Linked DNA regions of Arabidopsis thaliana. The protein of the gene in region 4 interacts with the protein of the main gene of each other region in a pairwise test. Each region holds a gene or a part of one and is shown on either strand. Other genes may lie near its edges.

Evidence for each region.
Region 1: the proteins of MLO9 (region 4) and TMKL1 interact in a protein complementation assay, tested with the Arabidopsis thaliana proteins (one large-scale study listed by BioGRID).
Region 2: the proteins of MLO9 (region 4) and MSBP1 interact in a protein complementation assay, tested with the Arabidopsis thaliana proteins (one large-scale study listed by BioGRID).
Region 3: the proteins of MLO9 (region 4) and AT5G59650 interact in a protein complementation assay, tested with the Arabidopsis thaliana proteins (one large-scale study listed by BioGRID).

The regions. Positions count from the first base shown.
Region 1 is NC_003074.8:9,000,582-9,007,679, forward strand, and holds TMKL1 (transmembrane kinase-like 1), read left to right. Parts: upstream 1-2,987; 5' UTR 2,988-3,059; coding exon 3,060-4,440; intron 4,441-4,526; coding exon 4,527-5,170; 3' UTR 5,171-5,362; downstream 5,363-7,098. Other genes in the region: ABI3 (AP2/B3-like transcriptional factor family protein), read left to right, coding at 35-199; AT3G24670 (Pectin lyase-like superfamily protein), read right to left, coding at 5,624-5,845, 5,923-6,061, 6,145-6,248, 6,416-7,058. UniProt on the Arabidopsis thaliana protein: Does not seem to have conserved a kinase activity.
Region 2 is NC_003076.8:21,210,172-21,216,722, forward strand, and holds MSBP1 (membrane steroid binding protein 1), read left to right. Parts: upstream 1-2,768; 5' UTR 2,769-2,949; coding exon 2,950-3,269; intron 3,270-4,043; coding exon 4,044-4,386; 3' UTR 4,387-4,440; coding exon of another isoform or gene 4,441-4,448; 3' UTR 4,449-4,671; downstream 4,672-6,551. Other genes in the region: MBD13 (methyl-CPG-binding domain protein 13), read right to left, coding at 1-42, 156-302, 438-536, 1,380-1,463. UniProt on the Arabidopsis thaliana protein: MSBP1 can bind to multiple steroid compounds with different affinities. Negatively regulates cell elongation and brassinosteroid signaling. May act as a coreceptor with BAK1 and enhances its endocytosis.
Region 3 is NC_003076.8:24,028,138-24,036,609, forward strand, and holds AT5G59650 (Leucine-rich repeat protein kinase family protein), read left to right. Parts: upstream 1-3,208; coding exon 3,209-3,290; intron 3,291-3,400; coding exon 3,401-3,938; intron 3,939-4,046; coding exon 4,047-4,502; coding exon of another isoform or gene 4,503-4,525; intron 4,526-4,584; coding exon 4,585-4,779; intron 4,780-4,865; coding exon 4,866-4,937; intron 4,938-5,021; coding exon 5,022-5,093; intron 5,094-5,179; coding exon 5,180-5,248; intron 5,249-5,343; coding exon 5,344-5,510; intron 5,511-5,601; coding exon 5,602-5,843; intron 5,844-5,914; coding exon 5,915-6,041; intron 6,042-6,120; coding exon 6,121-6,186; intron 6,187-6,269; coding exon 6,270-6,459; intron 6,460-6,560; coding exon 6,561-6,963; downstream 6,964-8,472. Other genes in the region: AT5G59660 (Leucine-rich repeat protein kinase family protein), read left to right, coding at 7,550-7,667, 7,775-7,925, 8,011-8,114, 8,177-8,300, 8,465-8,472. UniProt on the Arabidopsis thaliana protein: Required for accurate photosynthesis.
Region 4 is NC_003070.9:15,978,388-15,986,242, forward strand, and holds MLO9 (Seven transmembrane MLO family protein), read right to left. Parts: upstream 5,185-7,855; 5' UTR 4,942-5,184; coding exon 4,801-4,941; intron 4,709-4,800; coding exon 4,651-4,708; intron 4,171-4,650; coding exon 3,941-4,170; intron 3,868-3,940; coding exon 3,751-3,867; intron 3,668-3,750; coding exon 3,610-3,667; intron 3,513-3,609; coding exon 3,424-3,512; intron 3,344-3,423; coding exon 3,269-3,343; intron 3,193-3,268; coding exon 3,104-3,192; intron 3,025-3,103; coding exon 2,975-3,024; intron 2,888-2,974; coding exon 2,847-2,887; intron 2,754-2,846; coding exon 2,580-2,753; coding exon of another isoform or gene 2,556-2,579; exon of another isoform or gene 2,515-2,555; intron 2,367-2,514; coding exon 2,331-2,366; intron 2,232-2,330; coding exon 2,164-2,231; intron 2,078-2,163; coding exon 2,017-2,077; intron 1,918-2,016; coding exon 1,822-1,917; 3' UTR 1,748-1,821; downstream 1-1,747. Other genes in the region: PMI1 (plastid movement impaired1), read left to right, coding at 1-429, 502-1,347.

The DNA.
Region 1 (7,098 bases), on a different chromosome or scaffold from region 4:
TTGTCATAATTAATTGAGAATAATATTATGACAGTTGATACGAGGGGTTAAAGTAAGACAACCGAGCGGACAAAAGCCGGAGGCCCCACCGTCGTCAGCAGCTACGAAGAGACAAAACAAGTCGCAAAGGAACATAAACAATAACTCTCCGTCGGCGAATGTGGTGGTCGCTTCACCAACTTCTCAAACTGTTAAATGAAAAACAGAGACAAAAAGAAACAATATAAATATTATTATGTACCAAATAAGAAAGAGGGCAAAAGGAAAAAATGGCAGCGTACCCGAGTGTGCCACTTCTCGTGCATGCATGGGATCTTGAAGACAAATGGAGGGTCATGATTAAAGCTGTTTGGTCGGGGTCCGGGTTTTTACTCCATTTTTTGCTTTTTCTTGTCGAGTCGGTTCTTTTATAACTCTTTACTCTTTTTACCTTCAGGATATTGTAGAGATGATTAATTCTGGAAATGGTGTTTGTGTTATATTTCTGGAGAGATGATTATATAGTTCTTTTGTTGTTGTAATTGGTTAATATTACATATGTGGCTCATTTCTTGAGTCGAGCTTACATATCGTTTATAATGTGAATGTTTTAAGAAGAGTTGAATGATACAATATTTTTACACAAACATTGATAATGATAATAAAAATGATAATTAATGTACAAAATTATTTGTAAATATGGACATATGGACAATTTAAGAAGGAATTGAGATAATTAATTTTGTACATTAATTATCATTATCAATGTACAAAATTATTTGTAAATATGGACATATGGACAATTTAATGATAGTAAAAATGATAATTAATGATAATTAATGTACAAAATGATAATTAATGTACATATGGACATATGTACAAAATTATCCATATCATTCACATATTCACATTGTAAATATTTGTAAATAGAATGTTTACATATGGACATTTTAAGAAGAGTTGTTCCTTACCACTTTGATTCTATCATTTTCTTGTTTATCTAGTTAGCTTGAACCCTTTGTATTATTGAGTAACGAAAATCTTTGGAGGAAAAAAACAAGTGAGGTAGGATTATAATTTTCCTCATATAAGTGTGTTGTTTGTGATACATCATTATTCTTTCTTATTTTTGGTTAAACCCAAAAACTGGACCGCACCTAAGGAATTGAGATATTCAAAAAAACAATGATCTGACCCGTGCCAAATATCCACACCACACCTTTCTCCATTCAGGCCCTACTAGAAAGCCGTGAGACGGTTGACAACTTGAAAACAAAAGACTTATAATGAGACTATGAGAAACAAAAAAGAAAGTGGAGTTGATGAAATAATCTGATCTTATGAAAGTGAAGTTGATTACAAAAGGAGCAGCGTGGTAGTTGAATAGTTTCAGATGTTGATAAAGACGTGACATACATAGTTGTCTCAGTAATCTAATCAAGGACTCCTCATGTTTCTAACTTCTTCTTCTATAAAGTTGCATGAGATTTATATCTGGAGAACATATATTGCTCTAATTATGTGGTCTTATTATCATCAATATATGCCTTTTTCTACATATGAATATATGATCGACATGTATAGATATTTTTTGTTGTTCAAAAAAAAAAAATGTATAGATATTTTTTTCATTTTCCAAAAGGATTGAATTTCGAAATGGTGTAGCCACCTTAGAGGTATACAACAATAAATAATTTTCCCGACTTGTAACAAATGTTTGGAACAAAAGTGTCAATTAGAATCAAAGTAACCATCAGATGCCTTTTATAAATTTCTTTATCTATGATTATTTTTTAACCAAATTCAGACACTTCTATATTACTAAAAGCCAAACTTGATATCTATTTCAACAAAAAAATTTTTTTTTAGTCTGCTGTGACTCAGTATATCTAATTGTTTTCACATCATTCATAAACTTTTACTAGTCCATTGTAAAATACAGTATATTAGAAATTGTTTTCCTATCTATATATGCTTAGGTTTAAGAAAACAACTTTTGGCCATGAATATTTGAGTTTTTAAGTGGTTTTGGATTATAGATTTTGCCAAAAGGAAAAAATATTGATTTAAAATTACAAAAAGAAATCTGCAAACAATTATCAAAAACTCATTAAAGTGGGATTTATTTTTCATTTTGTTTACAAAAATGCGAACTCTAATCTTGATTGGATAATTAAATGGGTTTTTGGAAAACCAATAACTATGCTATAAAGTATAAACTACTACCATTCAAGCCTTCTATTTTTCTATGCCAAAAAATACTACGCAAAAAAAATTGAGCGTGTTTGATCCAACAATAAAACAAATTACTCAATCTTGTTTGATGTCAAAATCCAAATCCAAAATATGTTTCGGACACCTGACCGGTCTACTCGATTGACACCCCTGAAATTTCGAAATAGACAATACACAAAAGGACATAGACAACATAACTTCATCTCACTTAGATATTCACATTTCCCATTTTTCAAAATATTGGCTCTTCATTTTCTGTGTACTTCCAACAAATTGTCTTCTAGAGAAACCAAAACTATCTAAGATTTCTCCACCTTCTCCATCATCCACCGTTGATTCACTCATCTCATGTCTCCAATGACTCATCTACGGTCAAGATTCAAGGAGCATGAAACATCCCATGAACCAAATTACACAAAAACATTTACCTTGATAAAAAAACATCATTTTATTATTTTGGCAGAAGAAAAAGTCTTAATTCGAACTTTGAGCGTGCTTATAGTTTAATCAATTAAAGTTATAAAGAAAAGTAACTTTATAAATTCAGGAGTAATCAGTAGATTTATACCATTCTTGTCCATCGCTTTAAGCCACACTTGATCGGACGGTAAGCAATCAATCCGGTTTACACTTTCTGATTATAAAGATTCCAACTTTTGGTTATATCGGACGGTTAATAATCAATACGGTTTGAGTTTAAATCATAGCCGTTGAGATGTTTGACTAAAGTGTTTACAAAGTAGTCAACACTCTCTTTCTGCTACAAAGGACCAGTCTTGAAACTCAAAGTCCTTACCTTTCCCTTCTCTAACCTCTCTTTCTCTTTCTCTGTCTCTTTGTGAGAAATGGGCATGGAAGCTTTGAGATTTCTTCATGTTATCTTCTTCTTTGTGCTAATTCTTCACTGTCATTGTGGAACATCTCTCTCTGGTTCTTCTGATGTGAAGCTTCTTTTAGGAAAAATCAAGTCTTCACTACAAGGAAACAGTGAGAGCTTACTGTTGTCTTCTTGGAACTCCTCTGTTCCTGTTTGTCAATGGAGAGGTGTAAAATGGGTATTTTCAAATGGGTCTCCTCTTCAATGTAGTGACCTCTCTTCACCACAATGGACTAATACCTCTCTGTTCAACGACTCTTCTCTTCACCTTCTCTCTCTTCAGCTTCCTTCTGCTAATCTCACTGGTTCACTCCCTAGAGAGATTGGTGAGTTCTCTATGCTTCAAAGTGTGTTCCTCAACATCAATTCATTAAGTGGGTCAATCCCTCTTGAGCTTGGTTACACTTCTTCTCTCTCTGATGTTGATTTGAGTGGTAATGCCTTAGCTGGGGTTTTGCCTCCATCGATTTGGAACCTCTGTGATAAGCTTGTCTCTTTCAAGATTCATGGTAATAACTTGTCTGGGGTTTTGCCTGAGCCTGCTTTGCCAAATTCGACTTGTGGTAATCTCCAAGTTCTTGATTTGGGTGGTAATAAGTTCTCAGGTGAGTTTCCTGAGTTTATAACTAGGTTTAAAGGTGTGAAGTCACTTGATCTTTCAAGTAATGTCTTTGAAGGTCTTGTTCCTGAGGGTTTAGGTGTATTAGAGCTAGAAAGTCTCAATCTTTCTCATAATAACTTCAGTGGGATGTTGCCAGATTTTGGTGAGTCAAAGTTTGGAGCAGAATCTTTCGAAGGGAACAGTCCTAGCCTTTGTGGTTTGCCTTTGAAGCCTTGTCTAGGCTCCTCTAGGTTAAGTCCAGGTGCTGTTGCTGGTCTGGTGATTGGTTTAATGTCTGGAGCTGTTGTTGTGGCCTCGTTGTTAATAGGGTATTTGCAGAACAAGAAAAGAAAGAGTAGTATAGAGAGTGAAGATGATTTGGAAGAAGGTGATGAAGAAGATGAAATCGGTGAGAAAGAAGGCGGTGAAGGAAAGTTAGTTGTGTTTCAAGGTGGTGAGAATCTGACGTTGGATGATGTTTTGAATGCTACTGGGCAAGTTATGGAGAAGACTAGCTATGGTACTGTCTATAAAGCTAAGCTTAGTGATGGAGGGAATATTGCATTGAGGCTATTGAGAGAAGGTACTTGCAAGGATAGAAGTTCTTGTCTGCCTGTTATAAGGCAGTTAGGACGCATTCGGCATGAGAATTTGGTTCCCTTGAGAGCTTTCTATCAAGGGAAGAGAGGAGAAAAGCTTCTCATCTATGACTATCTTCCCAACATAAGCTTACATGATTTGTTGCATGGTATTTTCTTTCATCATCAATCTTTTTTGCCATGGATCTTTCTTGGTTGATTTTTGTTATTCATGTGTTGTTTGAATGATGTGCAGAAAGTAAACCTCGAAAGCCAGCTTTGAATTGGGCTAGGAGACACAAGATTGCACTTGGAATAGCGAGGGGACTTGCTTATCTTCATACTGGACAAGAAGTTCCTATCATCCATGGAAATATTAGATCAAAGAACGTGCTTGTGGACGACTTTTTCTTTGCAAGGCTAACTGAGTTTGGGCTTGACAAGATAATGGTACAGGCAGTAGCAGATGAGATTGTCTCGCAGGCGAAATCCGACGGGTACAAAGCACCTGAACTCCACAAGATGAAGAAATGCAATCCAAGGAGTGATGTTTACGCCTTTGGGATCCTTCTCTTGGAGATATTGATGGGTAAGAAACCAGGAAAGAGTGGAAGGAACGGTAATGAGTTTGTGGACTTGCCTTCTTTGGTTAAAGCTGCGGTGTTGGAAGAGACGACAATGGAGGTTTTCGACTTGGAGGCAATGAAAGGGATTAGGAGCCCAATGGAAGAAGGTTTGGTTCATGCATTGAAGCTAGCGATGGGATGTTGTGCTCCTGTTACAACAGTTAGACCCAGCATGGAAGAGGTTGTGAAGCAGTTGGAAGAGAACAGACCGAGGAATAGATCCGCATTGTACAGCCCAACCGAAACCAGGAGCGACGCCGAAACTCCATTTTGAGTCTAATTGTGTTCTTCTACAAGCTTTTTTTTTCTTCTGTAATTCCTCACTTTAGTTGGCTATATTTGTTTCCTTGGCAAGAAACCATTCTGATTTGATTTTATCTATATTTGTTGATGAGAAATGGTGTAAGTGTAACAGAAGCAGTTCAAAGTATTAATATTGATAGAAGAATATATGATACATGATGATACACCAAATGAGTAATGAGGCAGAAGAAGAATGCACTGTACTACAATTTTGGAGTTGAGTCGAACAACACTGCGGCTCATCAAAGCTGGCCTAGGTTGACGAGTGGAGGCAGAGAAGAGTCTAAAATGGTAAAAGAGAAAAGAAAGGAGACGATGAAAATGTAAATGACGGGGACGAAGAAAACAAGTTAGTTTTCTTCCTTTGTCTCCCTCAGCTAGTCAGTATCCTCTTCGGTCTTGGGTTTGAGGATTATACAATTAACTAACACCGCATACCGATCCTGCATTTAAGGGCACCGGAGCTGTAGGTAAGCATACTTACTACAGAAGCTGGTTTAGCTCCCAAGCTAGAGGCTCTGGCATAGCTTGCAGGAGCAGCAGCTCCAGATTTAGTGAAGTAGGCACCGTTGAGCATTAGGTCTCCTTGAGATCTCCAGTTCCATTGCTTCCATTCCCCTTGCCATGAACCTACCCTCTTTGTCACCTGCCAAAACCATTACAATATTGAGATTCATCCTTTCTCAATATCTCCTACTCCGAAAGAGAGAAATTAAGGTATACCTCTTTGGCGAAAGGGTTGCCCGGGGCAAGGAAACGATTGCCTTGACTATTGATAGTAGGGTTAGCACTTCCACCAATTGCATACATTACCCAATGAGTATAATCATTGTTTACAACATGGAAATAACCATGTCTACACCTGAAATAACAACAAAAGAATCAGCCCTCCTGATTCTTGTAGCAAACAATCATCGAAAAGAAAACATGAAATGCATGACGAACCTCGGCATTCTCTGTATAAGCCCTTCCCCAAAATGGTTATATGCTATTGTCACTTGCATCAACTTGTCTCTAGTGTACGAATCACTATGCCCCATCAACATAACCTGCATTATCCATCAAGAAACTTCTTCTCAACTCTTTAACACACCCTACACAATTCAGTTCACTATACTAACTAATTTAGCTACTAAATCAACCAAAATCCACTCCAAAAACGTGATTCTGCAGCAAATTCATCATCAGTTCCACTGAATCAGCAAAGAAAGCTAACCTCGTTGTGGTGAGTCATGTAGTTATTGGAGATAGTAATAGCAGTAGATCCCATAATAGCATCAATCAAACCATCAGCACAATTAGACAAAGAGTTATGATCAATCCAAATATGACTCGATCCAAATATCGATATAGCATCACCATCCGCCATAGTCCTCCACCCATAATGCGACGGCGAGCTTCGAACCATAGCATTACCAGTTCTTCTACAATCATGTACATTAATCCCATGGATGATAATATTCGTCACATACTGAATCGTAATACAAGCACCGCCTGCGATTGCAACGTTCACGCCTCTTCCATCGATTGTTTTGAAGCTGTTCATGATTAGCTCTTGAGTTAGAGTAATCACCATGTCTCGCTTGAAGACGATCCATAACGGACGGTCTTGTATCACAGCGTGACGGAGTGTTCCTGGTCGTGGATTAACCGCGTCGTGGTCAGATGGATCTGTGACTACGTAGTAACGACCATCTCGTCCTCCGATAGCGTTACGACCGAATCCGATCGCGCAATTCGCGAGACGCTTTCGTCGGAGATGCCAATTCCGATCACATCTCCAACAGTCGTCTATTGGGTTTCCGGTGGCGCATGAGAAGAATCCTAACCTCCTCCGCTCTGTACTGTTCTTTATTTTCCTGAAAATAACAAAAAGAGAACAGAGTTATTAAATTGTTA
Region 2 (6,551 bases), on a different chromosome or scaffold from region 4:
TACATCATCTGCAGATCTCTTGTCCACATACTCCAGACGAAGCTAAAATCAGACAGAGAAAAGTTAAGAGTTAAAAGATTAACAGAAAATTCAATCATTCAGCTATAGTGCTTTCCATTAAACTAACTATAACAAAAAAGGAGAAAGGAACTCACAACAGTCTTTCCATTTCCGGAATCATCATCTTCGATATCACTTTCTTTCAATTTACGTGCATAATGTCCAATATTGCCAGTCTCAACATACCGTGATGCGTCTTTGAAGGATTGAAAGATATACTCACTTTTAGGGTCAATGAAGAACTGCAAAATCAAAAACAAGACATGTCCAAGAAGAATCACATAAGAGATTTTCTAAAGTGAGCTTATGTGGAAAAGACACAAAATGTACTTTTGATCAAAGATGATGTTATCACAAAGAGAGTAGAGGGTACAAACTGGATCTCTTCTGGTTTTACGGCCTGATCTATTTGTTATTTCAAGTTTCTTGATCCATCCTTCAGGTAAACCTTGAGCAGCAGATTTCTCAACTATAACCTGTATCACTTAAACATAAAGAGTTTTTCATTTTAAGAGACGTATAAATGTCAAATCTTTTTAGGGATCACAAAGAACAAAGTAACATTGTCTTCAAACATATAAACAACACAAAACTCTCAGATATTCTGTGCTTATGAACTTTCCATGAACAACCTAATACCAGACCCTTGCCAATATAAATGTGATTCATCTCAAAACTTTCCCTTTGCATACGCGAGAGGTACAAAGTTTTAGTGCTTACGAATATTACAGTATTCTCTCGAAGATGGTTACTTAACAATCCAAATTCATTTTCACAAGATCTATTACTCTTAATGTCTAACCATCTCAGTAAAGTAACCATATAATTCCTTTTCACACGAAGTAAACTAAGAGACAAACTTTTAAAAATTCAAGAAAAACTTAAAAAAAATAAACATCTCCAATCATGCACACAAGTAATAAGAGCTTTCTAAGCCACAGTGGAACCAAGTAAAATCAATTGAGTTCAAAATGTAGCTACATAACAAAGCTTTGATCAAACTACATCATCTATAACAAAACAAAAAGTCAGGTCAAGACCATTTTCAGACACTTAATCAACTAGACCTCTTCTCTTTTGATCACATGTCATCTTTCCCTAAAAGCTAAGCATTGCATGCAAGAGAAAATCACTCAAACGTCACAAAAGACTTCACCTTTTTCCATCATTACAAAATCATACAATCAGAAACTAAGAGTGAATCAAAGTATTTGGCACTTCAATAAAGATAACTACAATTTCCACAAAAGGAGCTAACAAGAACCAAACATGCAAAAGACAATCAAAATTAAGAAAAGGGTTTAAAACTCATAAATCACCTTATCCTTTCTCCCATTCTTCCTCACTCTAATTTCCACTTTCCTCTCAGCCGACAAACCATCAGAGATCCCTTCTCCGTTCATCTCTCCGGTCACCGTAAAACCACTTTCCTCTCTCTCTTGTATCCCTGATTCACAACTCAGAATGGTTTATCAACTCAAAACGCCAAAACCCATCAAGAATTGTCGGATTCAGATAATGGACACCGTCGGAAGTTATAAAGAAGGAACCTTTTTATTTTGTCTGATTGTGTGATTTGGTTCTGTCTCCACTAAGGTAAATAAGAAAAATAGTAGGATTTAATGGGGAAGAAGAAGAAAGGGTTTACACGTGTAGTGTGGAGGAGTTTCAATGGAGATTCCCCGATTTGAGAGGTTCAAGAAAACTCAGTCCACCAGCACGCGAGTCTTCTGGCCCAACGCTTCTCTTCTCTGATTGCAATTTAGCTCATTTTCTCCATTTTATTCTCTTGTACTGTTTGTTGTTTACTTCCATTGTTATTGTCCCAATTTTAAAAAAACTTACACTGTATATTAAAAAACATTTGCTTGATTTGGTTATAAAATCTAATTGCAAATCTATTTATGATGATATTTTTTGGGAAACATTTAAGACTTTGTTATCATTTTTTGACCCAAAAGAAAAAAAAAATGTTATTATTGTAAATGTTAGGATTGGAAGATTTATCATGAGAAGAAAAGTGAAAAATACTAATATAGTCAATTATGAATTTTCATAAATCTGAATTAAATATAATTTATTTTTACTTAATATATAGTTTTAATTACTTTTTGTTTAAATTTATGTTATTAAATTTGGTATTTGTATATCATGTTTAAAAGATTTAGAAGTATGATTTTATTCTATTTCTAGTGATTTAATTATTGAAACTTTGATTTTTAAAAAAGTTTATGTATTAATAAATTATTTGGATTGAAGGTTATATCAATGTTATAAAATGTGTTTTAAAATCTGAAAAGTGGTTGATTTTTTCTTTTTAAATTCTGCATCCACGAAACTTATTTTTCTTAAAACTTATTTTTCTTTTCGAGGTTATGATTCTTTTTAGTTTTTTTTATCAAATTTCATGATGAAAATAACTGAATTGAACATCAAAGATTTTCAGAAAATACTCTACTGCTTTTTTCTTAACTATATTCTAGCCATTTACATATCTAAGCTTGATGTCTTTTCTATTTCGTCGAAAATCTATCTATTTTACGGCAGAGACTTGAAACCCGAATTTTGACATATCAAAAACACTAACACAATCCCATGTACTACATTATCATTTGTATTTTACTTATAGAAGAAAATAACTTTTTATTTAAAAATTGTATGGTAAAAATAAAGATTAGTTCCCTAATAACTATATAAAAAATCTTATTCGGTCGTTTTAGCTGTATTTAACTTTTAAACCCAAGAAAGAAAAAAATCAATCAACCAAGGAAGTAGTACAACAACAAGAGTCAAAACCCAACAACTCTCTATCTAGCACAAAAGCCTGACTTTTACAAAGACAAGCCTTTTCAACACACTACTGATCTTGAGAATCCTCTCTTCAAAGCCATGGCGTTAGAACTATGGCAAACTCTCAAAGAAGCAATCCATGCTTACACAGGTCTTTCTCCTGTTGTCTTCTTCACTGCTCTAGCTCTCGCCTTCGCCATTTACCAAGTCATCTCAGGCTGGTTTGCCTCGCCGTTCGATGATGTTAACCGACATCAGAGAGCTAGATCCTTGGCTCAAGAGGAGGAGCCACCGATTCCTCAGCCTGTTCAAGTCGGTGAGATCACGGAGGAGGAGCTTAAACAGTACGATGGCTCTGATCCTCAAAAGCCCCTTCTTATGGCTATCAAACATCAGATCTATGATGTTACACAAAGCAGGTGAAATTTCTGAATCTAAAAAGCGAAATTAGGTTATGGGTTTGATTCATTGTTTCCTCTAATCTTGTTTTAGCGTATAAAGACTTGGACTTTGCATACTTTTATGATCTATAAAGCTGTGAGAATCGTAAAGTTGTTCACTTTGAGAATCAATTTCACAAAGGAGTTTTGTTTTGAGAATCAATTTCAGAAAAGCACATTGGAAAAGTTGATCCTTTTTGTTACTTTTATACAAGAGAAAGATTCAAAGGAATATGTTTTTGTTGTTGATGTTTGCTAGTGATTGAGATCATGTTGTGAAATATCTTAGCTCTATCTTCGAGTATAATCAATCTCTTAGACTGGTTTTAGTGTCTCAAGTGTTGTGTTTGTAATGAAAGGTTGGATTTTTATTGTCTTCCTCAAATCTCGTTTTACTCTATAACAACTTGGACTTTGCATAGTTTTATCTATGAAGCTGTGATATCCATAAAGTTGTTCACTTTGAGAATCAATTTCACAAAAGTTGTGCTTTTCTATGTAATCGAGCTTTTGAGTGGCATAGTGTTAATTTACCCTTTTGCTTCCTTCATACAAGAACAGGATTCAAAGGAAGTTGTAATATGTTCTTGTTGTTAATGTCTGCTTGTGGTTGAGATCTTTAGTGAAAACTCTTTGTTAATCTTTGAGTATAATGAATTGATCATCTTCTTATGATAGTCTAGTCTGGTTTTTGCGTATTTAAATTAAATGTTGTGTTTGTGATGAAAGGTTTGATATTTATTGGTTTTGTAGGATGTTCTACGGACCAGGAGGACCATATGCTTTGTTTGCAGGGAAAGACGCTAGCCGAGCTCTTGCAAAGATGTCATTTGAGGAGAAAGACTTGACTTGGGATGTCTCTGGTCTTGGTCCCTTTGAGCTAGATGCTCTTCAAGATTGGGAGTACAAGTTCATGAGCAAGTATGCTAAGGTTGGTACTGTCAAAGTGGCTGGTTCAGAACCTGAAACCGCATCTGTCTCTGAACCCACAGAGAATGTTGAGCAAGATGCTCATGTAACCACAACGCCTGGGAAGACCGTTGTTGATAAGAGTGATGATGCTCCTGCTGAGACTGTGTTGAAGAAGGAGGAGTAGAGCCCATTTCCAAGATTTGCTCTGATTTGTCATAGAGACCAGTTTTATGAAAAGGATTGTAGAATCTCTAATGTTGAAGTGTCAATGATAATCTTGTTTTACTTTCCCAAAAAATAAAGATTGCTGATTAATGATAAGAAAAAAATGTTTTATAAACTGCATATCAGAAGGCGTTGCATTGCATGATTACAATGTAGTCGAGTTCATACTTGTGGTTTGTGAATCTGCATGATTAATCTGGAAACTAAAACATTAAACCTGATCCTTTTTTTGTAAATTCTCTTCATCCTTTTGGTTACTACTATAGGAAGTTTTTAAGTTGGTCACTAAATCCATATCAATTGGGAAATAGAGTATTCAATTGTGATCCTCGATGTTTAAGAATTGGGGCAAAGAAGACAGTTGACCACGTTCTTCTGAGTGTTCCTTGCATTGCAGATATGTGCGCTCGATCTCCTCAGCACTATGGAAATTTCGGTGTCGTCGGTATTTGCAAATTTGGATATTCTTTTCTTGGAACAACCTGGCTCTTCAAAAGATTTAACCTTTCCATGGATTATTTGATACATTGGAAGGCACGTAATGATAAGGTTTTTAATGATACATTTGAGAAACTGCACAGCTGCAAGAACATAAGACAAGTACCTTTGAACAACGGTCTTTATTACAAAAACTGGAGTTTGAAGTCACAAATTAATGTTTTATAAAATAGTTCATTTTTTTTGGTAAACATGTGAAGATTTTATAGATAGTTGATGGAAGGAGACTCGATATGTTTTCAAATATAGGTTGGATCGGTTTTCATAACGACATAGAAGGATCTCTTTTTAGAGTTAGGAATCTATGCATAAGCCTTTCTCCTATGATCAAGCATCAAAGTACATCGGTAACTATCTCAATGGACTGTTCAAAGCTAAAAGAAAATTGACAACTTCCTGAACATTTTAGCCAATTTTCTCAACATATTTGGAATGGTTTGCAAGACTCAAATATTTGCTCTCTTCTGGCTTTCTGTTATTCTTGTAATTAGAATTGTCTTGCTAACTTGTTAGCTAGCATGTTGTTCACCACTACATTTTCATTATTTTAAGTATGTAAGACCTATAGTTCTATATACACCATCGATTTGGATTACCGAACCATTTTGATATATGTGTATGTATTTCAGTCGACAAAAAAAAAAAACTTCTAAGATCAGTTTAAACTGAATTTTGGTTATCGCCTTCTCTGCGATCATGGATTGGGTTGGACCTAGACATATGGGCTTAAGATACGTTTTACAAGCTGTCATGATGAATACAATTATTGTCTTAAGTGTCACGAGATATTGAAATCGTCAAAATAAGCCAAACATGCACCAAGATATCAACGCACATGTAGTTATTATATAGCAATAGTATTCTAAACGTAATGAACCGTCGATGTATCGACGTGTACTTTTTGCATTCACTTTCTTTTGTCTTCAAAAATAAAATGAAAATCAGAAATAAAGAGGTGTAATATTATCCACGTAGGAGTTGAGATCTACGACGACCAAACTAATCGTTAGGAAAGGTTTCAAAATTTGAGGTTCTTATCCAACCAACGCTAACGTAATGCTAATCTCGTGTTTCCATTTCTTCTTCCTTTAATGCGATGTCTCTCTGCACCCAATAATTAAAAAAAAAGTTTCTTTACATTTTTTCTTCTAAGAGAATTTTTTTGGCAAGTTGGTGACATGGTGTACTTCCCATACTTATCCATATCCCATTGCTCTAACTTTTTGTTGCTAAAAGCTAACTTAAGGAGTGATGAAGATTATAACTCATAATCAATCTAAAAGATAGACTCTTAACCATTTCTAATCACCACAATGTTCAAAGATCATATTTGGAGCTAGTGGTTATTTAGCCATGTGCATGGTCTTATTTTGATAGATTACCTTTTTGGATTGTTTGAACAAAAACATAAATACATGTAGCTAATTTCGATATATTAATTACTTTTCTAGTTGGAACCATTCGGAGAACAGCAAGTACCAATAACGTGAATGCATTTCCATTTAATATCACACAAAAGAAAAGTTCCATGTATCATGAATTTAGCAAATTCCATTTATAAATATTTGGCTTAACTAAAATTATATACATGGTTTCTTCTACATCTAGTAAAAAAAAAAGATAGAT
Region 3 (8,472 bases), on a different chromosome or scaffold from region 4:
ATTGTTTTGAGAATATTTACCATTTCTTCATATAACAGTTATTTTTTATATGTGTAGGTGTTAGCTTATTTTTTCGGGACCTATGCGCAAGAACTATACACAAAGATGGTATTGAAATGTTGCAAAAAAATATTTGTATGGTTCTTTGTAACCTCGAGAAAATATTTCCTCCTTCTTTTTTTGATGTCATGGAGCACTTGCTAATTCACTTGCCACACGAAGCTAGTCTTGGAGGACCTGTGCAGTTTAGATGGATGTATTGTTTTGAACGATACATGGGACATCTAAAAAAAAAGGTGAAAAATAAGGCAAAAGTAGAAGGTTCGATCGTTGAGCAATACATCAATGAAGAAATTTCTACTTTTTGTACTTATTATTTTGATCGACACATCAAGACAAAAAATCGAGCAGGAGATCGACACTATGATGGTGGTAATCAAGAAGATACACATGAGTTTGATGGAGTTCCAGATATATTTTCTCAGGCAGGAAGAGACAGTGGGAAAGAAAGTGAGATATGGCTCCAAGATAAAGATTACCATATCGCACATAGATATATTTTGCGGAACTGCGATCAATTAAGACCATTTGAAAGGTATGACAAAATAATTTGGACATCTGTATGGATTTTGTTTTTTTTTGTAGAATTAGTAAAAGACATTGTAAATATTTTTCATGGTTATATATGTATATATAGGTTGTTTGATGAGAGCTTGATCGCGGCTAATCCTGGGATAAGTGAAAAAGATCTAAATGAGCTTAGAGAAAAGCAATATTCAAGCTGGTTAAAAAAATATGTAAGATATTTTTTTTTTATATGAGATAAATACTTGATAGCTTATAATATAGTATGTGTCTTTTTATATTGAATCAGGTGGAGGATACTTGGAAGGATAATTCATATCCAGAGTGGTTGTTGAGTATTGTTCATGGTCCAATGGTTAAAGTTACTTGTTGGCCAATGTATTTTTGTCGTGGATACATATTTCATACATATGATCATGGAAAGAACAAAAAGAATGCCAATTATGGAGTTTGTGTCAAAGGTACAACATCTTCTAGCTCAAATGAAGAAGCTGATTTCTATGGAATATTGAGAGAAATTTATGAGCTTCATTATCCTGGACATGTTGATCTCAAGGTCGTGGTCTTCAAGTGTGATTGGTATGATTCAAAAGTTGGGAGAGGTATACGAAGAAACAAGTCAGGGATTATTGATATTAATGCTAAAAGGCATTATGAAGAGTATGATCCTTTTGTTTTGGCTTCACAAGCAGATCAGGTATGTTATGTTCCATATCCACGGATGACTCAGCCGAGAAAAGATCAACAATGGGAAGCAGCAATTATGATACAACCGAGAGGGAAAGTATTGATAACAAAAATCTGGATTTCACTGCAATGCAGCATGATAACGATGATTCTATTGTTGAAGTTGATTCATTACAAATCGAGACACTATCATATCTAGATGCCCAACCAGAAGATCTTGATGATCCAGTAGTAGAAGCCGAAGATGGATCAGATGCTGAAGATGGAAATTCTGATATCGAATTAACTAGTGACGAATCCGAATAATTTTTTTTTTCATTTGGACTTTTTACAGCTTTTTTTGTATTATCAAAAACATTGTTTCCAAAACTGAAGAAGTTTTTTTATTTAATTTTTTGTTCACAAGTTTTTATTTTTGTATTAAAATTGGTAACACTTATGTCACAATCTATGACCAAACGCAAAAGTCACTAAAACAGTGACAAATTGTGTCATCGTTGTTACAAAATTCTCGTAACTATACATGACATAAATTCAGTCACAATTATCGTATAATTTAGTTACTATATTTGGTCGCAAATCCGTACTTATATTTATGACTATATAATTTGTAACAAATTTGACATAATTAGTGACAAACATTAGTTACATTCAATTAAGTCATAATATTATAACGAAATAGTAACGTTTTTATGACCAAATAAATACGTCACAATTTTGTATGAAAATGGTCACAATTTTCTGACGAAAATAATGACCGTAATTTTTTCGTAAGAATATCGATTTCTGACCAGACGCTCTTCAATATCCGTTAGTAGTTGTGACACTTGAATGTGGTTTTGGACATGTCACCAGAAACTTGTCTTCAAGTGGTCTAACTGGAACCATGGCTGCTGCGATTCAAAATCTTACGCAACTAGAAACTCTGTAAGTAAGCTTGAATAATATACATACCGTTGCGTTTAAAAAAGCTACTCTCCAGCGACCGTGTTTCCAGCACTCCAAATTCATTATTTTCTGTTTAATGGGCTGATAAAACCCATGTTTGGCCCATAACAATTATTTCTGTTATTATAGCAACGTTGAAAAATATACATACCGTTGCGTTTAAAACGCTACTCTCCAGCACTCCAAATCGCCAATCGCGTTCTCAAACAGTGCTAATCGCCGATGAAGAGGTCTCATTGTCATCGCCGTCCTTCTCACGACGGGAGATTTCGCTGCCGTATATGGCCGATTTATCTCCGGAGATTCCTCACATTCGTCCTCCTCCTCACAAAAGTTATTGGGCCGGCTCAAAGAGATGGAATCAAAATTCTCTCAGTTTCATGGCCGGAAGGTAATTTCTCAGTTTATGATGTAACTGAAAATCCTTTAAAAATTTGAACTTTATGATTTTAGATATCTGATAATGGCGTCTTTGTCTTGAAATTTGTTTCTTCATGTTGACCCACTTCTCTTTAGATAATAGTCATTGTTGATAAATGTGAATCCTCTGCTTTGTGATTAGAAGCTGTTCTTGTCGATGAAGACGTCAAAATGTGTATTAATTAGTGATAAATTATCCGATATGATTCAATCAAAGTCACTGACCACTAGAAAGTCAAATCTCTTGCTTTCTCTCTGTGTGAACATTTTTTAATGCGTTAAAAGAGTGGTGACTGTAAAACCCTCTATTGACATATTCTCTTAAAAACACAGAAGTTGCATATTATTTTTTCTAAATACAAGTTGCATATATTCTGACATTCTTGGGACAAATCAAATTTGTAATTGTAAAGTTGCAATAGAAAACACATTTACTCATTCGTTTCACTGACTCAGGACATCTTGCCATGTTGCCAGAGGCTTGGACTGTTTCTTGGGTTTATCTATTTATACGCTGTGTTTCTCTCAAACTCTGGCATTGGTAAGGTTTTGATATCTAAAAGCAATTATGGATAGTCCTTGTTGGCTTTTGCTGCTGCTATTAGGAGCTTTTGCCATTATTGGTTGTGTTCAAGCTCAGGATCAACAAGGTACCTAAATCTTAATGGTTTATATGTATATTACACTACTACTTCTTACTGATTCGAGTCTTAGTTATGTTTGTATCTGAGATGCTTTTGATTTTTCACTCTCTTAACAGAGTTTATCAGTTTGGATTGCGGGTTACCCATGACTGAACCGTCTTCTTATACTGAGTCAGTAACCGGACTACGGTTCTCGTCTGATGCTGAATTCATCCAGACTGGTGAAAGTGGTAAAATCCAGGCGAGTATGGAGAATGACTACCTTAAGCCGTACACGAGGCTGAGGTATTTTCCAGAGGAGAGAAGGAACTGCTATAGTTTGAGTGTTGACAAGAACAGGAAATATTTGATCAGGGCTAGGTTCATTTATGGGAATTACGATGGTCGTAACTCTAACCCGATATTTGAACTGCATCTAGGACCTAATCTGTGGGCAACTATAGATTTGCAAAAGTTTGTGAATGGTACAATGGAGGAGATCCTTCACACTCCAACATCAAACTCTTTGAACGTTTGTCTTGTTAAGACAGGGACAACTACACCCTTGATCTCAGCCTTGGAATTACGGCCATTAGGAAATAATTCTTATCTCACAGATGGTTCTTTGAATCTTTTCGTTCGGATATATCTCAACAAGACAGATGGCTTTCTTCGGTAAGTGTTTTTTTTTTGGTTAACAGTGATGGATTCTATATTCCTATACTCTTTATTTTTAACATTCCTATACTTATTCAAGGATAATACAACCTTTGTTCCACATAGGTACCCGGATGATATTTATGATCGCAGATGGCATAATTACTTTATGGTGGATGATTGGACCCAAATTTTCACCACTCTCGAAGTGACCAATGATAACAATTATGAACCACCAAAAAAGGCTCTTGCAGCGGCTGCCACGCCTTCTAATGCCAGCGCGCCATTGACAATCAGTTGGCCACCAGACAATCCTGGTGACCAATATTACTTGTACAGCCACTTCTCTGAGATACAAGATTTACAGACCAATGATACCAGAGAATTTGACATATTATGGGATGGAGCTGTTGTTGAAGAAGGTTTCATCCCTCCAAAGTTAGGGGTGACTACTATCCATAATCTTTCTCCAGTGACATGCAAAGGAGAAAATTGCATTTACCAGCTAATAAAAACCTCGAGGTCAACTCTTCCTTCTCTACTTAACGCTCTTGAAATCTACACAGTTATCCAATTTCCACGGTCGGAAACAAATGAAAATGATGGTATGTTACTTATCTTCATTGTTATGCAGATACAGTCTGTTTTTTTTTTTTAACTAGAGAAATCAACTTCACCTGCTAATTCTCACATCCTTGAGCTCTACATCAGTGGTTGCTGTTAAAAATATCGAAGCTGCCTATAAATTGAGTAGAATCAGGTGGCAAGGAGATCCTTGCGTCCCTCAAAAGTATGCGTGGGATGGTTTGAACTGTAGCAACAACACAGATGTTTCTAAACCTCCAAGAGTATTATCCTTGTAAGTCGTAAGATCCAAGATATGAACATGCACACTTTGACACTTATCTTCAAAATAAGTTAACTATCATGCTTTGGAATCACCAGAAATTTGTCTTCGAGCGGTTTAACTGGAATCATTGCGGCCGCAATTCAAAACCTTACACATTTAGAAAAACTGTAAGTATGGCCATAGTTAATATTGGTTTTGTTGATGGAGGAAAACCTAATGAGCTCTACTTTATTTTGGAAATAAACTTTTAGGGACTTGTCAAATAACACACTAACTGGAGTGGTGCCGGAATTTCTAGCCCAGATGAAATCGTTGGTGATCATGTAAGTTGCTCAGCATATTTTCGTTTACTTTCAGTTCTCCTTTGGTTCATGTGTCTGTATGCATGAAGATTGCTCTTCTTTAATAGAAACTTAAGCGGCAACAATCTTAGTGGTCCCCTTCCTCAAGGTCTTCGAAGAGAGGGACTAGAATTACTGTAAGAAACTTCCCACGTACTTTTTAATATTCCACAGTTATTTTCCACAGCCCTTTTGTGATTTGATGTTTTTAACAACACTCTTTTTCTTGCAGAGTTCAAGGCAACCCAAGGCTTTGTCTCTCTGGTTCCTGCACAGAAAAAAACTCGAAGAAGAAATTCCCGGTGGTGATTGTTGCATCAGTTGCTTCTGTGGCCATAATTGTTGCTGTGTTGGTTATTATTTTTGTTCTCAGTAAGAAAAAGTCATCTACTGTGGGAGGTAATTTGCAGGAGATCTCTCATCAAATCAAGAAACTGCAACAAATCGATGAATTCTTACATACCCTACTTTTTTTCTTTCTTATCTATAGCTCTACAACCTCCACTGAGTATGCCAATGGTTCATGATAATTCACCTGAACCATCAATCGAGACGAAAAAGAGAAGGTTTACTTATTCAGAGGTTATCAAAATGACGAATAATTTTCAAAGAGTTGTAGGGGAAGGAGGATTCGGTGTTGTTTGTCATGGTACTATAAATGGTTCTGAACAGGTGGCTGTTAAAGTTCTCTCTCAATCATCAAGTCAAGGATATAAGCATTTTAAGGCAGAGGTATGCATAATCTTCTTAAAAATATGACCATCTAACGCTTTCTCTTACTTTTATTTCCCATGAATGATTAGGTTGATCTTCTTCTACGAGTTCACCATACAAATTTGGTGAGTCTTGTTGGATATTGCGATGAAAGAGATCACTTGGCTCTCATCTATGAGTTTTTGCCCAAGGGAGACTTAAGACAACATCTATCTGGTAAACTTGAATTTCTTCATGATTCGAAAGTGTATATATGTTTCAACGTTCCCAAGGATCTAAAGAATCAAGTATTCAGGAAAAAGCGGTGGGTCCTTTATCAACTGGGGTAATCGTCTACGAATAGCTCTGGAGGCTGCACTAGGTTCGTAAGCTTATTAGCCAATATTGGCAGCTTAAAATGACTTTCCTTCTGGTGGACTAACAAATAATCATTCCTTTGAATAGGATTGGAATATCTACATTCTGGATGCACACCACCAATTGTACATAGAGATATAAAAACGACAAACATATTGCTGGACGAACAGTTAAAGGCCAAGCTTGCCGATTTCGGCCTTTCGAGATCTTTCCCTATTGGAGGTGAAACACATATTTCAACTGTGGTTGCTGGTACTCCTGGATACCTTGATCCTGAGTAAGTGTCGTTAGTTACCATTACAATGTGCTGAAAGTGAGTTGTCATTTTGCACTTTATATATTGGTTAGAGAGTATAACCATGTACTTTTGCCGTGCAGATATTACCAGACAACTCGACTGGGTGAGAAGAGCGATGTGTACAGCTTCGGAATTGTGTTATTGGAGATTATCACAAACCAACCTGTGATTGACCAGTCCCGTTCAAAGTCTCACATATCACAATGGGTTGGATTTGAGCTTACCCGAGGAGATATTACTAAGATCATGGATCCAAACCTGAACGGGGATTACGAATCTCGTTCTGTATGGAGAGTTCTTGAACTGGCAATGTCGTGTGCGAATCCTTCTTCTGTGAACCGACCAAACATGTCCCAAGTTGCTAATGAACTGAAAGAATGTCTTGTTTCTGAAAACTTGAGGGAAAATATGAATATGGACTCTCAGAATTCTCTTAAAGTGAGCATGAGCTTTGACACAGAGTTGTTTCCGAGGGCAAGGTAGTATGTGCTGCAGGTAACACAACCATGCTAATTAGTTGGGCTATTGGTCATGTTTGCTTTGATCATCCACATGCCAAGATCATATACCCTGTTACTTGGTGATGTTTTCATTATTTTATGTGTGCTTAGTGATGTTTTCATTCTTTGTATGTGTGGCTTGGATGCTAATAATCATTGACCGTAAAAGAGTATACCTCTTTGTGGTTCCATCATTAACAAACAAATGATTTTGGTTAAATATTTGTAAAATGGTTGGAAGAGTATTGATTTAAAACTGTCAAATAGTATATAAAATTAAAGAAACAGATTATGGATTGTGATTTCTCAACATACATTTATCTGTACTCTGAAATTATTAGGCTCACCATTCACTTAAGGCTATGTCAAATATAATTGATGTGATAGTTTATTGCTTAACGTGCTTCTGGGTCTGCTCCATATCTTCCATGATTGAGTTCATGATAGTGATGTTGGGACTTTGCTGTCCTCTTTTTCTTATTCATTTTGTTGAATAGAAAATGCATTTACTCATTTCTTTTGGCTTGGCAAAGTCTTTCTTTCGGCTTTTACATTTTCTTCCTAGCCAAATGGTTTTCTTGATTTTTCCTTGGAAGGTTAGAGAAGATGATTATATGAAGAATTCTCTTGGCCTTTTGTTCCTGCTAGTCTCCATCATTCATATTGTTCGAGCTCAAGACCAACAAGGTATCAGAAACCTTTTTTTTCCCTTTTAAACACATTCTTTTACAAACTTTTTGGTTCTCAGAAGTGCATTGTTTTAAAGAATAATCTTTATAAATGTCTGCCAACAGGATTCATCAGTTTGGATTGCGGACTCCCTGCGAATGAACTGTCTCCTTATGAAGAGAGTTTCACTGGACTGCGGTTCTCTTCGGATGAAAAGTTCATACGTAGTGGAAAAAACGGTCGAATCCGAGAAAATCCTCAGGGATACGCTAAGCCGTACGCTGAGATATTTTCCAGATGGAATAAGGAACTGCTACAATCTAAACGTTGAGAAGGGCAGGACACATTTGATTGTGGCTAGGTTTGTATATGGAAATTATGATGGTTTTGACCTTAAGCCAAAGTTTGATCTGTATCTTGGACCTAATCTATGGGCCACGGTGGATTTGCAAACAGAAGTTAATGGTACAGCGGAAGAGATCTTACACATCCCAACATCAAACTCTTTGCAGATTTGTCTTGTTAAGACTGGGGAAACTATACCGCTAATATCGGCTTTGGAATTATGGGAAATGGTTCTTATATCACTAAGTCTGGTTCCTTGAATCTTTTATCACGAACATATCTTAGCAAGTCAGGATCTGATCTACGGTAAGTTAACTTCAACTGATCATTGTTTGTTCTTTCTGCTCTGTTTCAATACAAGGGTTGTTTTCATTGACACTTAGAAAAGGTCATACATAAGGTTTTAAGGCAATCAATATGATCATTTTTTTTTGTTTTACTACTAAAACAACATTGTTTCCCACCCCCAGCTACATGA
Region 4 (7,855 bases):
GAACAACATGTTAATGTTGATGATCCACGGCACATAATGAGACTCACCGAGCTTGATTCAATTGCAAAGCAGATCAAAGCGCTTGAATCGATGATGAAAGACGAGAGTGATGGAGGTGATGGTGAAACAGAGTCACAAAGGCTAGATGAAGAGGAACAAACTGTGACAAAGGAGTTTCTTCAGTTACTTGAGGATGAAGAAACCGAGAAGCTGAAATTTTATCAGCACAAAATGGACATCTCTGAACTGCGGTCTGGCGAATCCGTAGACGATGAATCGGAGAATTACCTCTCGGATCTCGGTAAAGGCATTGGTTGCGTTGTTCAGACACGAGACGGTGGTTACTTAGTCTCTATGAACCCTTTCGACACGGTGGTCATGAGGAAAGACACTCCTAAGCTTGTTATGCAAATCTCCAAACAGATTGTGGTAAGGCCTGAATTAATATTTACATAATCAAAAGAATCCTACAACAACAGGAATCTGAAATCTTTATTACAGGTACTACCAGAAGCCGGACCAGCCACTGGATTCGAGCTATTTCATAGAATGGCGGGTTCGGGTGAGGAACTAGAGTCAAAGATATCTTCGCTTATGGCGATAGATGAGCTAATGGGGAAAACAGGGGAGCAAGTGGCTTTTGAAGGAATAGCGTCAGCGATTATACAAGGGAGGAACAAAGAGAGAGCTAACACGAGCGCAGCGCGAACTGTCGCAGCTGTTAAAACAATGGCTAACGCGATGAGCAGCGGAAGAAGGGAGAGAATAATGACCGGTATATGGAATGTGGAGGAGAATCCATTGACTTCGGCAGAGGAGGTTTTAGCCGTCTCTTTACAGAAACTAGAGGAAATGGTTGTTGAAGGACTTAAGATTCAAGCTGACATGGTGGATGATGAAGCTCCTTTCGAGGTTTCGGCTGCGAAAGGTCAGAAGAATCCACTTGAATCGACCATTCCGCTGGAAGAATGGCAAAAGGAGCATCGCACACAGCAAAAGCTAACGGTTTTGGCGACAGTACAGCTCCGTGACCCGACAAGGAGATATGAGGCTGTAGGAGGGACAGTTGTGGTAGCAGTACAAGCGGAAGAGGAGGAGGAGAAAGGGTTAAAGGTAGGAAGTTTGCACATTGGGGGAGTGAAGAAAGATGCGGCGGAGAAGCGGAGGCTTACCGCGGCGCAATGGCTTGTGGAACACGGAATGGGAAAGAAAGGGAAGAAGAAGAGTAATATAAAGAAGAAGGAGAAGGAAGAAGAAGAAGAGGAGATGTTGTGGAGCTTGTCATCTAGAGTAATGGCGGATATGTGGCTTAAATCTATAAGGAACCCTGATGTGAAATTGCATTAGTTGATCTTGGAGGTATTCATACTATACAATAAGATGCATTTGTTTATTTATGTTTTGTATATTATTTTTTAAGAGTTTCAAATTTTACCTGCAACAAACATTAGTCAAATGTCTTTTTACCAAATTTTTAAATTTCAGGAATTGGTTCAACTAATTTTCCCTAATGTTATGTATTGTTTTTTTCTGGTTTTCTTTTCTAAGAAAGTCTTTTATATATTAACTCTAAAGTGTACAAATGCATAAAAATTCTACCTTTCCAAAACTATTTTGTACAAAACTATAAATAGGACATGATAAACATGTAGAGAAAAAATCAACTCAAAAATTAAACCCACGTAAGGAATTTATATAATAAATAATAATTACATAGCTAAATCCTATTTTCCAAAAATTGTGTATAGACTATTAAGTAACCAAACTATTAGACTGTTAAATTTGGTCTATCCATAGATTAAAAGGAGAAGCCAATTATTCTCACTTTTCATTCTTTTTCCTCGCCTTCTTATGCCATTGTTCTAATGCTTTTGAAGTTTGCTCATCAAACACTGATCGCTTCATTGTGGATCCCATCTATAAAATATATATTGTAAAAGAATTATGCAATGATAAAACAACTAACTCTATGAAAACATTCAAAGGAAGAAAAAAAGATATATAAATGTTGCATACCTGAGTGACGAGAGCGTAAAGGGGCAATGTGATATAACTGCATAGGAATTGTACTCCCACCCTAAAGCCAAGACCATATATTCAATTTTCACAAACTCGATCGAAAACTTGGTAAAAAAAATTGTTTATGATAATACTATTACTCACCCTAGGCAGACACGAATGATTATAAGGCCAAAATGGTGATGAAAACAGGACCTTAGCCCAAACTCATACTGCAACAAGAATAATTATAACATTATTATAAAAATTTCTAGAAGCAATTAGTACCAACATAAAGTAAAAACTAGAAGAAGAGATTCTGAAAAGTTTACCCATATCCAAAAAAAATAAGTTATCTCAAAAGCATTCTGAAAAGTATCCAAAAAAATAAAATCAGTAATTATACTAAATCATAGGCTTAGGCATTCGGATTTCGGTTCGGATTCAGTTTGGATAATTCGGATGAGGGAGTTTGTTATCCGTTCGGATTATACGACTATTCGGTTCGGTTTTGGTTCGGATGGTGTCGGATTCGGATCACTAAAACATCACATATATCATTCACTTATATAAATTTTCACCTGAAACAGAACGAAGTGGATCATATGAAGTACTAGATCGGGTTTTTCAAACCAAAAATGTTGGTCTGAGACGTTGACAACTGGCATCCCTTGAATTACTGCATGTCTCTCTTGAATCTCCAATGCCATGTACGATATAATGGCTTGTAGCTTTGTTCCTATGGCTAGTGTTAACTTTAAACATAAACCACAATTAGTTCATAAAATGTTCTTTAATCTTTTTGAAGTAAGAATGAGCTTCGTATAGTAGATAAATTAATGACTTACTAGAGGAGGAATCATGGTGATTACGGCAGTAACATACCATCCTATAAAGTTTTTTGTTTTTATATATAGATCAATTATTAGTAAGTCAAGATATCATAATGTAGAAGTACGATAAACTAAAGACTAACCGTGAACATCGAAGAGTAAAAACAACATTACAAAGGCCCAAAGCTCGGGTCTGTCATCATCAGTGGTAGATTTCATTAGAAACAAATAAAGCAAACTAGACTAAAAATGTGAAAGAGGATATGAGTTACCTTATTCCTACAACCACCTTGAAGTCGTCTTCCAAAGATCTTTTGATGTACTTTTGAAAATCAAACTTCATACCAGGTGCCAAATGAACCTAAATACATAGGGTTTTAGAGCAACAAACAATTGGATATTAATGGAGAATTAATGTAAGATATTAATGCACTCACACTTATGAATCCATGTCGCATTGTCAAGTAATCAGACTTCCTCACTGATCTAAGTATTTGACGGAAGAAGCACATCTGAAAATTAACCTCTAGTTCCATTAGATTAGAGATGATAATTGTGCAAGAATAACACTTAGAATTTAAGAAAATCGTACAACGTAGAAGAAGAATTTATTGCTAGCCCAAGAATTGACATGTTCTCGGACAAATGATGTCTCATGTGTGAGTCTAAATCTTGATGGATCTGTATTAAAAAAATAAAAATAGCAAGGACAGTAAAATTTTGATTAGCTAGGACAGTAAAATTTTGATCACCATGCAAAATATAAAGTTCACTCTACCATTCATCATTTCTTGTTCATGGATGACCTCTTGCTCCCATACTTTCCAGCCACGAATCTATGTTTACGAAAAAACGAATTAGTTCAATTAAAATCATCATCAACACATATATACAATGTGAAAAATTTCTACCAATATACCTTGGCTCTTCCAAGCATCATGGTTATAGCACTATATATAACATGGAACACGGCCAAGAAGAATATGAATATATGCACTTGATGTAATGCGTTTAATGATATAAGTGCGACATAATCCTGAAACGATAACAAAATAATAAGTTAATAAAACTACTTAAAACTTTTATGCTGAAACAGTAGTTAATATTACTTTCTTGCAATTTACTGGAGGAGCGTCGGCCAAAGAACGACGTTGAACAGAGTAGAGAATACGCATTGCATGGTCTGTTTTCTTGAGCTTTTTACGATCATCTTCACTAGGTCCATCATATGGACCACAAAAAGACATTGCATGGCCGTATCTTGATGGAACACATATGCTCGCAATGTAGTTTTGGCCAAATGTTAGAAGCAGGGAAATAAATCCCAAAACCATAAGCTCTACAATATGTAACATAATTTTGAGTTAAATATATATATATAGGAACCAAAACTTTTCATGAAAATAATAGGGATACGATCCATCAGTTACATCCCTAACCATACGCTAACCACACGAAAAATTCCATCTTCACTACATAAAAGAAAAGATAGCACTCCAACCAGAAGACCAAAATAGATTGAAGACGAAGACGGTCAAAGAAAATAACAGATTGATTTATTCTGTTAGCGTGTGAGGCTTATCTATTACGGAAATCAACGTGTTTTTCACTTTTTTGATTACTTTGTTAAACTCATATATTGGTTGTGTGGTTTGTAGAGCTTCAATCTGTGTGCTCACTGATATATTTGTATTATCGTCTTTAAATTAATAAAGAAAATATATATATATATATATATATATATATATATATATATATGAACGAAAACAATTGTTCCTTGATTTCAAGAAACCAAAAAAAATAATTTCTATATTGTTACCATTTTTAATCTTCTCAAGAGCTTCAAACAAAGCTTTCTTCTTCTTTCGTTCGAAAACCTACAAGCATGGAATTAAGTGTAACCAAAAAAGTAGCAAATGCAAAGCATATATACATCCATAAGGTATAATGGTGTTCTCTATCAAATCACCTCGCCGACTTTGTGAATGATGAGTTCCAAAATAATGGAGATCAAGATGATAACACCACAAACTGTAGAAACGGCCCAAGTCGGGGTCTGGTCTAGCTGTCTTGGACCTTCGCCACCTCCTCCACCACCACCTCCAGCCATTACTTAAAACCGTGATGATTATCTTTTTATTTTTATTTTTTAGTATGTGTTTGGTATCAGAATTTCAATTTCAAAAGAGAAGAGACAATAAAAATGAAGTCAAAGAGATAGAGAGAATGAAAAGGAAAGGGATGATGTTGCCATTGACGAGCATGCGAAAATAGTAGATAAGAGTGTAGACAAATCCGGTGAGTTATTTTTTAAAAAATATTAATTTTGTTTTTTTTATCAATTTATTGTCTTCCCTATTTTACAGGTTTCCACATTATTTAAGTGGGAATGTATGGAGAAGAACGAGTACGGAATAATTGGTGGAGGAAATTTAGAAGAAAAAAAATGAGAGAATTAAAGAGACGTCGTTAGCAAACTACAATAGACATCATTAAGCAATTGGATTCTAGATATATAGTATTCGTTAGAATAATTAATAAATTAAACTAGCATGCAAAATTAAAAAGCATGTGCAATTAAAATGCTAGTAAGAAGAAAATAAACTGGACAAATCGTCTTTATGTACTACAAAGAATTGTTCCATTTCTTACTGCATAAAATGTAGAAAATAGTGGGAAAAGTGATACCATCGCCTAATTTATACTATTTTAATAGGATATAAGTAAAAAAATCTGTATCATATTACAGAAGACTCGCATCATATTAAAGAGAGACAATTTTTAGAGCTAGGCCCGAACAAAATATTCATTAGATCCGTTTCGACTCAGTTTTTTATTTGATTTGATTCAAAAATCCGAATATCCGTAAGATTTTCAAGCAAATCAAATAGGAAAATATAATATTCGTAAAAATCGATGCAAATAACAAATATTATCCGCTTTGATTCGTATTTTATATATATATATATATATATATATTAGAATATATAATTATGTATATATATAAATATCATAATATAGTTTGTATATTTATATATTTTTGGGTTTATATTTGTAACTTCAGTATTTTTCTTCTTTGGAAATCTTGTGTTTTTATGTTAAGATGTAAGTTTGATCATTTTTCTTTCATGTTAGTGGTATCTTAAACTATCAGGTTTTAGGTCATCTCCAACAACAGTTTCTCAATGAGTAACTGAAGATTAAAAAAATAAAAAGTAATGAAAAAGGTGGAAAGAGAAAGAGATACGTTTCTCATATGAGAAACCCACTTTAATACTTGTGTCTTTATGATTGGTCAGATTTTTTTATTTATAATTTAAAATTTAAATAAATGATTTATTTATTATTAACTGATTAAAAAATATAATTGAGAGACTCACACCATCTTTTTGCGTTGGAGATGCCCTTAGTTTTTAGAATTAGTTTGATGGTATTTTCTTGATCAGTGATATCAAAAATAGTTATGTTCTGTTTTTTGGAACTTATTTTGACATCATGTCAAACAATTTTTTTGAGAAAAATAATTAGATGTATCAAAGCGAATTTCCGCAAATATCACAAAAAAATCTGGATATTCGAATTTTTGGATATTCGGAAATTTTTGGATCAAAATAATTTTTGCCTAACCCGCAAATTAGCATATATTTGTTAGTTTTTTTTAGACATGACCAAAATTAAACCGTAACCGTATTTCGGGCCGTAACCGGACTATTTTCAAACTGTAACCGTATAAAACGGTTAATAACCGTAAGTGTTGACAATAAAAATGGAATAGTTACAGTTAAAAAAAATATACTAACTATACCCGTCAATAAAACGTAACCATATCAAACTCGTAGTTAAAAGTACGGTGAACCGTACGATTAACTACATAGATAACAACATAGTTAAAACCGTAAAAATACAATTTTAAATATTTGTAATACAAAAATATATATCAAATGTTCAGGAAAAGAATTTCAAAAAAGTAAATAATATCGCATATAAAAATAATCTAAAACATACTTTTCATTTTTAAAAGCAATAAAAAAGTCGAATAACCATAAACATATTTAACCGTAATCATTGTAACTGTAACCGTATTCAACCGTAATTGTATCTAAATATAACCATCTTAACCGTATATATAATGGTTAAGGTTACGATTAAAGAAACTTTATAACCGTAACAATGGTCATGCCTAGTTTTCTTATTTAATTGGGTTGTCGAGTTGTAGCCCCACACAATTTCCTTTTTCTTGCCTCAACCCCATCAATGTTGATACTTTATTTGTAACCTTGTAAGTTGTTAAACCCCTAAAATTTGAATTTCGAGTTATAAGAGCAACTCCAATGGTTTAGAACCAATTGGTTTTTAATTTTGAATCTTAGCCTTATTTTAAATTAAAATATTGCTTTTACTAAGTTAAGAAAAGTTAACAAAAACTTAACTAATTTCTACTCCAATGGTTAAGAGCTATTGGTTTCTTAAGAAACAAAAATTTAAATTATTCCAAAACAATGTCTTATAATACACGCAACTACACAAGATGTTTATAATACAATTCAAATCACCGAGGACTTCCAACTAGGCAACTACACAAGATGCTTGTTGACACTATCACAAATCCCTGCAAAATGATGTAAAGACATTACAAAGAGATTGGGGGACTTCCAAATATATGATTGTGGTGAATATGAATTAACAAGGATCACAAAACAATAAAAACATACTTCAGTTTATGTTTATTGTACCTTGCAAAGAATACTGACTAGTTTCTGTTACTAAGGTCACCAAGGGAACAATAATGATATGACAATGATCAACAAGGAAATTGAAATTAGACTAACCCTGTAAGAAGAGCTGTAGTACTATCAATCGCTAGAAGCATAACTTATAAACTTATAGGAGAAATACTTAAACAAAAAGGAAAATTCAAAGCTTGAATAAGTTAAAGAACGAAACTATTCACCTCCTTTTTCATTAACCAATAAAACATGTCATATCAAATTATATTTAAATTATATAATAAAGTAAAGCTATAA